2 linked regions of the Alligator mississippiensis genome follow. The protein of the gene in region 1 purifies or fractionates together with the protein of each later gene. This does not show direct contact. Links are inferred from orthologs where the notes say so. Each region holds a gene or a part of one and is shown in the gene's direction. Other genes may lie near its edges.

Region 1 (7,582 bases):
CCCCCCCCACACACACACACACAAACAAAGGTGGTGCAGTGGGGTGGAGGGAACCTGTCTGCCTGTGGGATGTAGTGGAGGGGAGAGTACCCACCTGCACATGTGTGTGGGGCGTGTAGCTTGGAGGGCCTATGGCCCCTACAGTGCTTCCTCTGTGGTGTGGGGCATATAGTCACTGGCCACTTGGGAGTTAGACAGCCCTGATGTAGACAAACCCTGAGATAAAGTGGCAGTGCAGCCTAGTGGCTAAAACCAAGCCCAAGTGCTAGAAACTGCTGGATGGGGTCGGGCCTCCCTAACCCATTTCAATAAATTGTATAGCAAAATGGCATTCACTTGCTGCTTGGTTGAAAGCTGCTGTGCCGGATGTCGGTCTAAGCAATCAGTAACCAGCTACATGTGAAAAAACATAACCGCTAATGAGAGGTAAGCCCCTGACCCTTTCTACCCCATATAGAGCCTTTTACAAACATATTCCAACTAGTGGATGGTTTTTGGCTGAATATTCTCCTACATCCTCTTGCAGGAAACGACTATCAAGAAACCTGGCAATGTCCAATCCTCTTCTACTCATAATTTTGCCTCCTGATAATTTTTCTCCAGCGGACTATTGACTTGTCTGCTGGGCAACTAGCCAAAGCACCTTATTTAAATTTATCTTTGAATATTCCAGCTCTGGACTGCCAGAGCAGACAGCAAGAAGAAATGGATAGGGTAACGATGTGGACTTGAACTTCCAGTGGCCACATTGCCCCAGGGAAATGTTAAGCAACCTTAAGTTGCAATACTGAGGAGGAGTTGGGGAGTGATGATCGCTGGCCTGTAAACATCCAAGTCACTTCTGCTACGCTGTACTTGACGTGGTCTAAAATTAAGTAAAAGTTACTAAGTTAAACAGGACGCTTGGTGAGTGAAGTTTCCTGAATTTAGGTTAGAAACCAACTAGTGCTCCTATATTACCAAAACTGTTCTGTTCTGTTATTGAAAGGTAAGATGCCTATCCCCACAACATGTTGTGCAAGGACTTTCCCTTTGCTTTTTAAATTTTTTTTATTTTTTTATTTTTTTTAAGCAACCGCAGTCAAACAAGGTGACATTTTAGGCATGTGTCAACATTCTAATTTAGATATTGCAATATTTTTTATGGTCAGAATTAGTGGGAAATTTGCAGGTGCTGAAAATGGTGAATTATAGAATTTATGGATTCATGTTTTTTGTCCTTTTTCTATAGAATTGAATTAATGTTTTGAGTTTAAACCACACTTCATTCATCTATGTTGGGCAATGTCAGTGTTGGGTCAGTAGATCTGTAGAATGTACCTAAAATATGAATGTAACCCAGTTGGGGGGAGGGCAGGGGGACAAAAAAAAGGCCCCAAAATTTAAAGTGTACAACCTCCAGAAGCCTTTCTCTCCTCTTAAACAGAATTAGTGAATGATCACAATATTCTCTGAATTTACTTCTAAGAAGATATTTTATTTTAACGAGTCTTGTCTAAGGCCTACTCCACAACACTTGGGGTATAATTTTAAATTGACTTGTTCACATCTATGTTTGGAAAACGTGTGTGACAATCCTAGTGGGAACAAGGCAATTTTATAATCTTTTTAATATCTTTATTTATAGATGGTGTGAGTACACCAGAGAGCAGTTCTGGAGCTATGAACTTCAGTATTGCAAAGCGGGGTTGAAGAGAACCACACTTGTGAGCCAAGGCAGCAGTTTAAGTGGCTCTACAACAGTGCTGTATCCTGAAGATTTATATAAGAAGTGCCCAGAAACTTTTCTTATTGGCTGTGCGCTACGAAAAACTACGACCAAAGGTAATTGACTGGAGAATCTCTCTATCTAAATCAGGGGCAGGTAAAGCCTGGCCTGCAGGCCATATCAGGCCTGTAGTGGCCTTCATTTCCCTACAGCCCCTGCCTGTGTTGCTGCGGCCAGTTTCCATGGAGACCCCAGCAGCAGTGAGGCCAGGGTTTCTTTCCATGGAGACCAGCCCCAGCAGCACTGGCAGGGCATGCAGCTGGGTGGGGAGCTGCTCTGGGATTGGGATCTTGCGCTGGTGATGGCATGGTCTGGAGCCAGGGCGGAACTGCGATCTGCTGCCCCCATACCTGGGGCAGGGATGTGCAGGCTGTGGATCATGGCTCTGCCCTGGCTCCGGACCATGCTGTCACTGCTGCAAGATCCCAGCCCTGGCCTCATAGTAGCTCCTTGCCAGCTGTGTGCCCTGCCAGTGTTGCTGCAGCCAGTCTCCATGGAAACCCTGGCCCTGAGGTCCCACTGCTGCTGGCATCTCCTTGGAAACTGGCCACAGCAATGCAGGCAGGGGCTGCTGGGACATGGAGTCTGGTACTGGTCAGATCCATCATTTTGACCACCCTGATCTAAACAAATCCCTTCCCATAACCAAGAACTCAGCCTCCATGTCTTTATCATCAGTTGTTCTTAGGATTTCAATTCAACCAGTTATAGTGAGTGCTTGTGGCTGATATCGATAGCCATTCCCCAGGTCACAGAATGAGATCACCCATATATTTGACAGACGGAGGACCCAAGCAGATGGTAACTCATTTTGGTCATTTAACTTGGATCACTTCCTGAAATCCTGATGTGGAGTTACATAATTGCTTTGAAGGGTGATGGACATGGTGCCCTTATCTTTTCATCTGCTACTGCTTTTGAAAGAGATTTGTACATCTCTAGTACGAAGGTCCTTTCCCTGTCTCAAGAACAGTAGGACATTGAGTTAAATCTAAGGGTGGGAAATTTGGAACCAACAAATAGTTTCTCACACAACTTGGTTAATCTATGAAAGGTATTGCCCCAAGACATTAATAGAGCCAAGAATTTAGTACTAAAAATGGATTGGCTATCTCTAGTTGTTAATGAACACCCAGCCTGTCAGAATTGCTGTAAAACTTTTGGAAGGACCACTAAACCTTGTGCATTACTGCTTAAACTAGTCTCTAATTTAAATTAGAGACCAGAGGGAGACTTGTACAGGGCAGGTTATCCCATAAATGGTGTGTTTTATGCTGTCAGAGACAGCATATAGATGTAGTTTTTTAATGACCTTGTATCTAGCACAGCATAGATGCACCTTTCCATCTCTGGGAACATCCTTCTTCAGCACTTTCATCTGACCATGTTTACTCCCTAATTATTAAATAAGATTTCAAATGTTCAAGCCAATACTTCACGTGGAGTTGGCCCTTCCTGTTTTACCTGCATTACTTCTAGGATTCTCACTCGATTTTTATCATAATTGTGTAAGAACCCTTTTGAGTCTCTAAATCAAGCAGCAGTTAACAGTAATCTGTAGCTCAAGATTGTCATCCCCCACCCCAAACCCTATCCCCTAAATATGAAAACACCCTGAAAATGGCTACTGTGCCACTATTGGATTCATATGTATTTGCATGCGAGAGAAAAGGAGACTTTTTATTTTAAAAGGTTTGGGCTAAAAAATTTGATAACCACAAGACACCTGATCCCTTGTTTCACAGTACTTTCAGCCTTACAACAAAGAGAAACCTTATTTGGGGGAAAAAAAAAACCAAACAAAGAACAAAAAAACTAAATTTGAGTTTCTACACTGACTAGAAAGTACCTTAAGTGGTTTCAGGCAGAAATACAAGGGTCAATGTATAGTAAAACTGATCTGAACATATCAACATATAAAAATGCATGTTGGTCTAATCACAGATCTGTGCTGCTTGCTTTTACTCCATATTCTTAAATGCTACCTAAGTTTATGCAAGTTAGAATGGCTTCCTATGCAGATGATAATATATTTCCCTAAAATTTGTAAATATGCAGTGGCCAGTCTGACTAATCCCTTAACTAAATCCTACAAATGCCAAATGGTTTTGTGGCTTTTTTTTAAGTAGTACTGTGTGTCCTTAAGGACACTAGGGGAACTTTTATTTTTCAAAAGTATTTTTATTTTTCAGGAAGACTCCTGAAATCAGCTGCATCTCTCTGCATGCCTATCTAAAAGTAGATGAGGATATGGACTTTTTTAAGTGACGAGAGGTACAAAGCAAGCGGCCACTCCCCTCTCACTTGGTCGACTCTCACTTGTTGCCAGCGTGAGCTGCGGTTCCCCTGCTTGAGCGGTGGCGGGTTGGGGCGCTATGTCTTGCTGGCCTGGGGTTAGGGTCTGGATAGGGGCTGCCTCCGTCCCTTGCAGAGAAACATGTCGCAGATTGCAAAGACGCTTATCCGGTTTCATTGCACATTCCGCTCCCTCCTTTCCGTATTTTAGTCCTTTAATGCTTCCCCACCCCACAGCTGCAGGCTGGAGCCTGCGCGACACCGCCACTCTTAGGCGTCCCCAAGGGCGGCCGCACGTGGCTCAACTCCCGGGGCGGGCGAGCAAAGGGGCCCGGAGCCAGTGCGCAGGCGCGGCCTGGCCAGCCCCCTGCACAACGACGGCGCGGTGGCCGCCGGGAAGCGTAGTCCAGCCCCGCCCCGCGCACGGGCTGCCAGCGGCGCGGGCCGCCTGCCGCTCCCGTCGTGCCCCGCGCGGGCGGGCGCCGGGCCCCGGATGTTCCCGGCGCCGGAAAAGAAGCGGGTCTCTTCAGGGTCGGCCATCTTGTGCGGTCGCGGGCAGGGGTCCGGGGCCTGGGCAGCATCGGAGGAGCATCCCGCCGACAAGGGCCCATCATGCCCGGACACCTGCAGGAAGGGTTCGGCTGCGTCGTCACCAACCGCTTCGACCAGCTCTTTGACGACGAGTCCGACCCCTTCGAGGTGCTGCAGGCGGCCGAGACCCGCCGGAAAGAGAGCGGCGGCGGCAGCAGCCAGGGGGGCGGCGGCGGCGGCGGGGCCCGCAGCGGCCCGGGGGCGCCGGCCAACTCGTCGGGCGGGGCCGGCGGCGGCGGCGCGGGGCAGGCGGGGGCCGGCGGCGGCCCGGGCAGCGCGGCCAAGCAGCTGCGCAGGGAGTCGCAGAAGGAGCGCAAGAACCCGCTGCCGCCCTTCGCCTCCGCGCCCGGGGGCGCCGCCGAGCGCCGGGACGAGGGCAGCGCCCAGCCCGCCGCGCCGCTGCGCAAGGAAGGTGAGCGAGGAGGCGCCGGGGCCCACCCACGTGCGGCCTCGGGCCTGCAGCGCGGCGATGGGGCGGCGGCTTCCCGCGGGGGGGAGGACTGGCCTGGCGGGAGCCCCGGCTGCTGGGCCGGGGTCGGGTGCCTGGGAGCTGCCCGAGTGCAGCCGGTGGCTCCCGGGCCACGTGCGGGCCCTGCCGCCGCCTCCTTGCAGGTGCCGCAAAATGGAGTCGGTCTCTTCATGCCTTGTCCGCTGCTACCGCTGTTGCTGTGGTGGAGCCCGAGCCCGCTCATGCGAACAGCCTGGGGATGGGGAAATCCTCGCTGGGAAAGAGCTGCCAAGAAACGAGGCCTGGAGTCCGCTCAAGGGGTTGTGGGGATTAACAGCCCGGGATTGAAGCTGCCTTGTTGGGGGAGGGGTGGGGTTTTTGTGGGGGATTTGGTTGGTGGGTTGTTCGTTTTTTTTTGTTTTTTGTTTTTTTTTTTTAACAGGTTCCCCCCCCCCCCCCCCCCCCCCCCCAATTGGTTGAGGGTTGTAGAAACTGGCTTGTGGCCTGGCTTGAGGTTCCTTTGAATGGGATGAATGTTAATAACTTTGCGTTCTTCAGATGCATCGTTCCCTGACGTCGCACGTGTATAAGCATCGTTCGCTGACGTTGCACGCAACCGTTTAATGGGCGGGTGGGGGAGCGTAACTTCTTATAGGAACAAGCGAAGGGAATAAAATGGAGCAAAATTAAATGAGTTACTTTTCATATCCAAACTAATGGTGCAGCACTGTGTGAGCACATGCTAAATCTTGTGCATGGGCCTTGTTTCGTAGCAGACAATGGGACTGCCCTTTTGCATATGTTTAGGTATTTTCAGGGTTGTGGACACATTTTGGAACATTTACTGTAAATGCTGCTTTAGTGTCTTGAAAGTGCCATGATATTTGGAGAAGGAAGCAAGGTGATTGCAATGTAGCTGAGATGAAGAAGCCTCTTCAAAAATCTTTAGAGTAGAAAAGTAGAATTGATATAAAGCATGACATTCATATTCCACTTCCCTTCAATACATCATGTTGGAAAATGATCCTCCGGACCTTTTCTGTTGCTTGAAAAAAGGTGAACAGTTCTAATAAAACCTGTCACTTCAAAACATTTTATCCAGGAAAATATTAAGGAAAACATTTTGTGTTAGGCAAAACTGAGAAACAGAAAGGGAGCATAATTTATTATCATGTGGGTATTCTCTACTTCAGAGCTGGGGGCTTAAGACCAGTTCAGAGCTTTGGTGTTCTTAAAAGTGGAATAAATGGTACAAAACATGATTGATAGTTATTAAGTGGTGGGGGAAAATTTATGAGGAGGGAAGACAGACTGCTGCCACACCGATTGTACTTGTGTTGACCCCTGGTTGACATTGTAAACTTTGAGATGTTTATTTGGACAACTCCCATGTTGAAAAAGCTCTGTTTTCTTTATTTCAACTTTCTTGTGCCTCCAAAATGACTAGTAACTTGAGCCTTTTTGCTGCAATTGAAGACATCAGAAAAGGGCAGGTCTGTTTGCTAGAATACATAAAGATGGTTTCAGATTTGTTGAGATGTAGTAGTTGAGAATTCAGTTTTAATTTTATGTGATCCCCCCCTGCTTTTTTTTTTTTTTGGTTTGGTTTTTTTCATTATTGTTCCCCCTAGTGCAAGGACAAAATGGATGGATAAACATTATTTTATAAGTTTGATTCATGAATACAAATGTGTCGACTCACCAGTCATGAAATTTTCTAAATTGCCCACGTGTTAGTCAAAAGAATGGCAGCTTTTCAGTTGGTGAGCTCTGCATACTTTTATAATATATAACCTAGATATGAATGTAGTTGATAAGGCAACAAATAAGGATTTTTTTGTAAGGTACTGGCCTGGGACACGAGATCTGGGTTCATTTCAAGTCTGAGTTAGTACTACTTTACAAAGTAAATCCATTTCATGCAGATTATTTAACAAGAAGCTTTATTTATTTATTTATTTAAACTAATGTTGGATAGTGTTTCTAGAGCAGGGAAGCCATTGTTCATTTGGGTGTTTGACATGATGGAGATCATTACAAATGCAGTGGCTATAACCCCACCCACATATGTTGCTTGCTTGATAGGGGTTTGCTCAGTTGGGGAAAGATATAAAATATCACAGTGTTCTTTTAATAAGAGGACACAGAGTATAGTTAAATTCCCAGTACTTGAAGTGTAAACAGAATCCTGCAAAATAATTATGGTAGCTATTCTCAGAGAAAAGTTACTATTTTCAAAGCCAGATTTCATAGACTAGGGCTGGAAGAAACCTCAGAAGATCATCGAGTCCAGCACCTCGACCGAAGGGCAGGAAGTCAGCTGGGGTCATAGGATCCCAGCAAGATAAGCATCCAATTTTCTCTTGAAGGTGTTCAGTGTAGGTGCTTGAAAGATATTTTTTTCTCCTCAGATATTAAGGCTGTCCTGCTGATTTGATCTAGAATTTATTATGTAGTTTGATTGGGCATTAGAGCAATTT
Region 2 (7,680 bases), about 22 Mb from region 1:
GCCTGCTCCCCCCCCACAGGCTGGGCCATGGCGGGGGCCCCAGCGCCACCCCGTCCGCGGTGCCGAGTGCAGGCCGAAACCCGGCTGGTGCTGGAGGCATTTCTGCAGGGCCGGGGAGGCGCGGGGGCCCCCGGGCATGTGGGGCGCAGCTACCACGACCCCCAGCGCTACGCACACAGGTGAGGGGACACGGGGGGGGGGTCTGGGGCCGGGGCTAGGAAACCTCGGGGGTCTTTAGAGGCGGGTGATGGAGGGCAAACCCAGGAGCCGGGCAGGGGACTGTGGGGGGTGGAACTATGGTATAGGGGGCTCTGCAGGGAGTGTATTATGGGGGGCTCTACAGGGGCTGGGACCCTAGAGGCACCTTGGTGGTGGGTGAGGGGGGCTCTGAGCAGATCTGCAGGGGCAGGGGGGACCCTAGGAGCATCCACAGCAGTCTGAGGGGGGGCCCATGGGTATGCACTGAGGTTGGGGGAGTGGAGGAAGCCCTACAGGTATAGGGGTATATGGGGTAGCTGGGGGGGGGGGCACAGAGTTATGGGGGTGTATACGAGTAGCTATGGGGCACAGGGCTGTGTGGGTGTGTAGGGTAGCTGAGGGGAACAGGGCTATGGGGGGCCCTAGAAGTCTAGGGGTATATAGATGTAGTAGGGGGTGGGAACAGGGTTGTGGGGGGAACCCTAGAGGTATAGGAGTGTATAGGAATAGCTGCGGGGTTTATAGATTTATGGGGAGCCTCAGAGGTATGGGGGTGTATAAAGATAGCTGGGAGGACACAAAGGTATGGAAGGACCTTAAAGGTGTGGGGGGCCCTAGGGCTGTGGTTATGTTTGGGGTAGGTGGGGGGCATAGTCATATGGGGGGCCCTAGAGGTATAGGGGTAGCTGGGGGGCACAGGGCTATGGAGGTAGCTAGGGGTGTGGGGGTATATGGGGGCACAGAACCATTGGGGCATGGAAAGGTAGCTGGGGGGCACAGGGCTATGGGGGTGTATAGGGGTAGCGGGGAATATGGGGCAGCTGGGGGGCACAGTTACGGGGTGTATAAGTGTAGCTGGCAAGCATGGGAATAGCTGGGGGAGGCACAGCTATGGGGGAGTGTGGGGATGCCAGGCGTGTCCACAGGGATGGAGGGGAGCTGGGAGGGGTCTCTGGGAAGACTGGCCATGCCCATACCCCCCAGGCCCCTGCCAGAACAAGCCAGCACTCCCGGGGGGTCCCTGCGCCCTGGCTCCTGGACCCCCCTGCACGAGGACATCAACCGGGTGGAAGAGCGCAAGCACGGCTTCAAAACCAGCGTGAAGAAGCTGCTGCAGCGTCGGGCCAGCCCCCGTCACAGCCCCCCTGGCCCCCTGCCTGCCCGTGGAGACTCCCTCAAGAGGCAGAAGGGGGGCGAGGGGGAGGAGGGGGGGCGCCGTCGGTACCCCCGCTCCTTCTCCTTCAAGGGGTTGCTGCGGAGGAAGGGCCTGGCCCGAGAGGAGCAGGATCCCCATCCCCCCCCATCCCCCTCCTCGCTGCGCCCCACCTCCCTGCCTGTCACCCCCTGCTACTGCACGGACCTCCCTGCACTGGGACAGCAGGATCCCACGGCACAAGGTAAGGGGCCCCAGAGACACTGGCCAGGAGGAAACCCAGGTGTCCTAAGGCTCTAGGTCCTGTTCCTCTCAGAGTAGGGAGAAAACCCAGGCATCTGGGGAGTCCCTGGTGCCCTGACCAAACCCACCCAATGTGGACCCAATGTGCTACCCAGAGCTAGGAGGGAACCCAGGTGTCCTGGCTCCCATCCCCCCTCCCCCGTCTAACCTACCAGAACTCACTCAGCCCCCCAGAGCCCCTACACTACATCATTGTGCTTTCTGGGAGCTGGGGGAAGAACCCTAGACACCCTGGCTACCAGCCCCAACTTTATCTCACCAGACCCCACTCACATCCTAGAACTAGGAGAGGACCCCCATGCTCTCCGCAAGCTGGTGGGAGAGTCCAGATGTCCTCGCCCACAGCCCCCTGCTCTAAACAGCTCTGCCCCCCAGGCCAGCCACCGCAGGACCCTGCTCTCTATGCCCAGGCAGCCCAGAAGCTGGACAAACTGCTGAAGCAGCAGCAGCTGAATAGCCCTGGGAGCGCTAATGGGGCTCCCTCCCCCAGGCTGGGGGCCAGGACCCCCGGTGTCCAGCTGGGCATCAGGCACTCAGGTAAGCTGCTACCTGGGGCAGGGGCTCCCTGCCCTCTGGCGGAAGCCAAGTGCTCACAGGCCTGTCTTTGCCTCCAGCTCCGACAGACCACTCCTCGGAGACTGCCAGCGAGCAGCACAGGGAGCAGGTGATCCAGAGACTCATCAGCCTCCTGGAAGAGCAGGCTGAGGACATCAATCGGGAGGTACTGGCCTAAGCCCCTGCACTTGTCAGCCAGTGCCCCTCACTCCTGACCTGCAGCCCCCTGTGCCTTCCCTGGTGCTCCTCCTGCCCCACAGACTGCCCCCACCCCATGCCACTCAAGCCCAACCTCCACAAACCCAGCACAGGGCCCCTCCCCAGCCCTGTCAGTTTTCCCACACCTGAAGCCCCCTACTTCCCCCAAGTCCTAAGAGCCACTGTTATGCCCTCCCTGCAATCCTTTTCCCTAGCCCTGACAATTCCCCTCACTCCTGACCCACAGCCCCCTTTGCCCTCCCCCAGTGCCCCTTACTCTGGACCTGCAACCCCTGCTCCCCCCCTGCCCAGCCAGTGCCCCTCATTCCCAGCCTATAGGACCGTGCCTCCTCCAGGCCCTCGCTCCCGAACCGTATCCCCCTGCCCCCCCCCCAGCCCTGCTGATGCTATGACATTTCCCCTCACCCGCAGATGGAGACAGACCCCGTGCTGCGCAGCACCTTGTCCCGCATGTCCTTCCACGGCTTCTCCCAGCTGGCCGAGGCCTTCGCCGCCCGTGCGCCCCCCAGCAGCCCCAGCCCCCAGCTCACGCGCCTGGCACTCACTATGGAGCTGACCCGGAGAGTGGCTGGGATCAGCAACCATGCGGTGCAGACCCTCATGGGCTACAGCCTCCAGTACATGGAGCTCTTCGTGCCCTGGCTCCAACAGCAGGGCGGCTGGGTAGGGGGGCCAGGCCGGCCTGGGGAGGGGGCTTTGTGATGGGGTGGGATTTACATGGGGGACTGGTAGGGGATGGGAATTATGTGGGGAGGAGGGATCGCCGTGCCAGGGAAGGGGCAGCTGGGTTGGGCTGGGGAGACCAGGGGCCATAGGTTAAAGGGACACTTGGTCAGAGGGGATTGGGTGTGGTGGCCACATGGGGGGAGGCGGGGGGAAACTGTATGAACTAGGGGGCCAGGCTACAGTGGACATGGAAGGAATCTAGGGGCTGTCTGTGGGCCATGCTTGGGGTGGGAGCTGTTGGTCTATCTGGGCTGGGCCTCCCCCCTACAAGCCTCCTCCCCACCCCACAGGAGAGCATCGTGGGACAGGATGAGCTCTTCGACCTCCAGCTCGACTAGGGGGAGGAGGCAGGATGCAAGTTGGGTTGGGGGGAGGGGAGCTGGCCATCCACCCCCCAGAAGCCACCGTGATGGGGTGGCCCCCTATCTATGGGGAGGCCCCCTGGCATTCTCAGGGTACATCCAGCTGGAGGGGACCCCAAAACAGATACCTTCCCTGGGGCCATGGAGGGCCCATTGTGACCTCTTATTAAACATTTAAAAAATATTTTTAACAAAGTTCTTGATTGCTCCGGACCCTTCTTGTCCCACCTGCATCCCTCCATGGGGAAGCAGCAGGGCAGCTGCAGCCACTTCTGGGGAGGGAGTATTGTATTGGACCTCCCCCCCCGGCCTGGGGCTGCGATGCACCTGTGGGAGGGATGGCAAGGGGTCCCCCAGGGTGGGGGGGCAGAGGGGTAGCGGAGGAAGAGCGTGAAAGCATGGTATTCGCTACCTACAGAGGGGAGTGGGGGCTGGGGCTGTACCTGACAGGCATACTCTTGAACATTTCAGCGTGGGGGGGCGACCCCAGGCACGGAGAGCGCCTAGCCGATTGGTTGCATTCTCCCCAGCGGCTTACCAATGAGTTTGTTACTAGGGCCTCGGTTAGGGTTGAGGGGGCGGGGCCAGTTTTTGACTGGCAAGGCGACTGGCCAATGGCTGCGGTGGCGGGAGTGGGGGCTAGAGTGACGTATCAGGTCACCAATGGGATCGCAGGTTCAATGGGGGGGGTAGGTCCCCGTTAACGACTAGCTCCCAGCCTCTGCCAATGTAATGTTTCACTACGTTTGAGCGACATTACCGCCGCCCACTACAACAGCCACTTGACTGAGGGGGGTGGGACGCGAGCGACTGCTGTTTGCCTCTACCAATGAGAAGTTCCACTCACCGTGAGCGACATCGCTGCTGTCCAATAGAGCCACAGCCTGTGTGAGGGGCGTTGTGAGTGACATTCATCTCGTCCAATAGCCTTCGACCTACACGAAGGGGCCGCGACGGCGAAGCTGAGTGACATCTCCCTCCCTCAACGCCGCTAAAGGGGGCAGGGGCAAAGCCTCACGGTCTCCTCCAATAGCAGTGCCCCTTTGCCTGTGAGGGTGGGGCCCGCACGTTGAGCGACATCTCCGCGACCCAATGGTGGGGACCGCGGCGCGGAGCGGCCAATTGGGGTGGCGGAGGGCGGGCCCGGGCCCTCCCCCGCTATAAGGCCCAAGGGGTGGGGGGAGGGGTACTTGCTCTCCCCGGGCTTCGCACGCAAGATGGCGGAGGCCGCCAACTGCATCATGGAGGTGCGGGCGGGGGGCGCGGGCGCGCGCGGGGCTCCCGGGGGCCGTAGTTGGGGGGGGGTCCAGCCGTGCTGGCCCTCCCCCGCGTGGGGGTGGGGCCGCGGGGGTCCCACGTGGCCCGGGAACAAAGGAGGGGGCGGGGCCCCACGCCCCTCCCCCACCCGGGACCCCCGCGTGGGGCTGGGGGCCGGTGGGGGGCACGGCCCTTTCCCCTTCTTCCCGGTGCCCCGGGCCCACGTGGGGCTGAGCCGCGCGGGCACGTGGCCGGGCCAGGCGGGGGGGTCCATGGGTTTCTCTAGGGCACGTGGCGGGGGACGGCGGATCGCTATTGGGGGTAGGATCAGGGACTCCTTGTGGGGCCAGGCCGGGCGGGCAGGAGCAGGAGGACGTGGCCCGCGGGTGGGATCAGTGTGTTCCTGGGGGGGACAGCATCCAAGGTTCCATCTGGGGGACGTGGCCGGGGGCGGGGGCAGGATCAGGAGGTCGCTAGACGGTTTGGAATAGGAGCAGGAGGTCCCCTTAGGAGACTTCACTGACCCACCCCCCCCCACCTCCCCCGATTGGTTGGTATTGCTGGGAGCTTAGGGGCAAGTTCCCTGGGTCCCTCTAGGAGACGAGGCCTGCCGGGAAGAATCTGTGGGTCGTTACTGGGGGGTCAGGTCAGCCCATCTGTAGGGGACGTGGCAAGAGTAGATTTAGTTGGGTTTTTATTTTGGGGGGGGTTGGGGAGGGCTAGGATCAGCAGGTGTCTGTTATGGGAGGGTGGGGGGCACAAGCCAAGGGGTAGGATCAGTGTGTCCTGGGTCGGGGCGTGCGTGTGCGTGTGTGCGCGTGTGGGAGGCGAGGACAGGAACTGCTCCCTCCCCCTGAGCCTGTCTTCCCATCTTCCACCATCCAGCCCATACCACCTCCCCACCCCCCCTCCAGCTGCCAGGCAGGGGTCCCCTGGCCCTGCCCCCACCAGCCCTGGGCGCTCGGCGCTGACTTTCTCCCTTGCTTTCTCCTAGACGTTTGTCACCACGCTGGCTAACGGGATGAGCCTGCGGACTGCGCTAGAAGATGTAAATATCCTTTCAGTGCGTGGGCCCAGCCAGCCCCCCACCCCCAAATCCCAACTACCACCTTCCCCAGGGGAGGGGATCCCTGCACTCCCCTTGTCCCCATAGTCATACCCTGTCACTACTCCTACAGACCCTTTCTTGTGTCCCACAAATTGTCAAGGTCCCGTGTCATGTCCCGTCCCTCCCCCCCCCCCCCCAACGCGCGACAGACAGACAGTGGCCCTGTCCTCTAGACTTACGGGAGTCAGGAGCCTGGGTGCGTCCCAGCCTCGTGTCCCTTGTGTTCAGGGTCCCATTGCTCAACCCCATCCCCTTTTCCCCCTTCCCTCTCCCCTATGTAGGATGGGAGTGAGGAGCTGGTCAGTGCTGGGGTGGGGGTCTTGCAGGGACAGGCGGTGTTTGTGTGCATGTGTGTGCATGTGGCAAGGAGCCTGGAGCCCAAGCAGGAGCTGCAGGGGGTGAGGCAGGGGTGGCATAGACCCCAGTAGCCTGTATCAGGGGTGGGGGGGACCTCATGGTGTAACAGAAACCCTCACAACATGTAGAGGGAGTTGGGGGGGTGGGGCTTGGTGCAGAGTCCTGCACTGTGGCTAAAGAGGGTCTGTGTAGACTAGTGGGCATAGGAGTGACCCTGCTGGTTGTGGGGGAGACAGCGGAGCGGCCAAGATCAGGCCCCATATAGAGGTTGTGGAGAATTAAGGGAGTTGGGGCTGGGGGGAGGGAAATCCTTGCTCCTTCTAGGGCAGGGGTGGGCAAAATGCGGCCCGCCAGGCCAGTTTATCTGGCCCATGGGGCCCTAAAAATTTAGAAAATCAATATTGATCTTCTCCTGGCTGCCTGTCATGCGGCCCTTGATGGCTTGCCAAAACTCACTAAGCAGCCCTCTGCCCAAAATAATCGCTCGTCCCTGTTCTAGGGGCTGTATTCATTTCTCATTCATAAATTTCCTTAATGTTGCCCTCCTCACCTGCCCCCGCCCCTGGTTCAGCACCCCTGCTGGGGTGGGGGTTCCCCCAGGGGTATTCGGTGCACCCAGGAGTTGGGGTGGGGGGCTAGCAGCACTGAGTCGGGGGTGGGGGTGGAATTTAGGTGGGCCCTGCCCTAGGTCCTTACTGCTACAGCTCCTTCCCTCCCCAGTCTCTGGGGCCAGGGACATTAGGCTGTAGCCAGTGGGGACCCCAGGGTGGGGGGGACAGTGGAGCTCCCCCAAAGCAGTGCCCCAGGGGGCCGGCTGGTGGGACCTGGTGGCAGCAAGGACAAGTTCAGGGCCAAGTCTGTGAGGTGGTGGGGGGTAACTGCCCCTTCCCGCTCCTTTCTAGGGAGACACACAAGGTGCAGAGATCCCCAGAGTGGGCTCTGCTGTGGGTCTGATGGGCACAGCAGGGGAAGGGGACCCAGCCCCACTCTGGTGCGTTGGGGGGGGTATGTGGGACTAGTTGTGCTTGCAGGGCTGACTGGGGGGGTGGAATGTATACTACAGGTTGGCAGGACCTGTGGCTCTGTGGGGTATATGGGGCTGGCTGGGCCTTGTGGGTCTGTTGGGGGGCATGACTAGTATGTACAGGTTGGGTTGGCCCATGGGAGTAAGGTGTGGGCAAGGCAGTGGCTGGGCACGTGCCAGCCATGGGGCCTCAGCCCTGGTTGTGACCACAAGCACGCAGCCTTGGTGCATACGTCTGATCGCTCCTACCCCTCCTGCAGGTTTCGTGCACCCAGCCTGAGGGCAGTGGGAAGCCCCCGGCTGAGGAGATGACATCCAAGGACTACTACTTCGACTCCTATGCCCACTTTGGCATCCACGAGGTCTGGGCGGGGCCCTGGGGTGGAGGTTGGAGGGGGAGGGGTGCCCACTCCAGGTG

The links. Proteins that work in one complex are often made in the same cells at the same time.
Region 2: the proteins of SERBP1 (region 1) and PRMT1 purify together in Homo sapiens (affinity purification with mass spectrometry; 3 studies listed by BioGRID and IntAct, with this or other methods). This does not show direct contact. The link is inferred for Alligator mississippiensis from reciprocal best matches to the Homo sapiens genes SERBP1 and PRMT1.

The regions. Positions count from the first base shown.
Region 1 is NC_081828.1:18,225,928-18,233,509, reverse strand, and holds the start of SERBP1 (SERPINE1 mRNA-binding protein 1), read left to right. Parts: upstream 1-4,573; 5' UTR 4,574-4,675; coding exon 4,676-5,066; intron 5,067-7,582. UniProt on the Homo sapiens protein: Ribosome-binding protein that promotes ribosome hibernation, a process during which ribosomes are stabilized in an inactive state and preserved from proteasomal degradation.
Region 2 is NC_081828.1:40,022,375-40,030,054, reverse strand, and holds the start of PRMT1 (protein arginine N-methyltransferase 1), read left to right. Parts: upstream 1-4,680; 5' UTR 4,681-4,733; coding exon 4,734-4,763; intron 4,764-5,767; coding exon 5,768-5,821; intron 5,822-7,522; coding exon 7,523-7,624; intron 7,625-7,680. Other genes in the region: BCL2L12 (bcl-2-like protein 12), read left to right, coding at 1-179, 1,183-1,595, 2,030-2,191, 2,269-2,375, 2,840-3,045, 3,445-3,694. UniProt on the Homo sapiens protein: Arginine methyltransferase that methylates (mono and asymmetric dimethylation) the guanidino nitrogens of arginyl residues present in proteins such as ESR1, histone H2, H3 and H4, FMR1, ILF3, HNRNPA1, HNRNPD, NFATC2IP, SUPT5H, TAF15, EWS, HABP4, SERBP1, RBM15, FOXO1, CHTOP, MAP3K5/ASK1, MICU1 and NPRL2.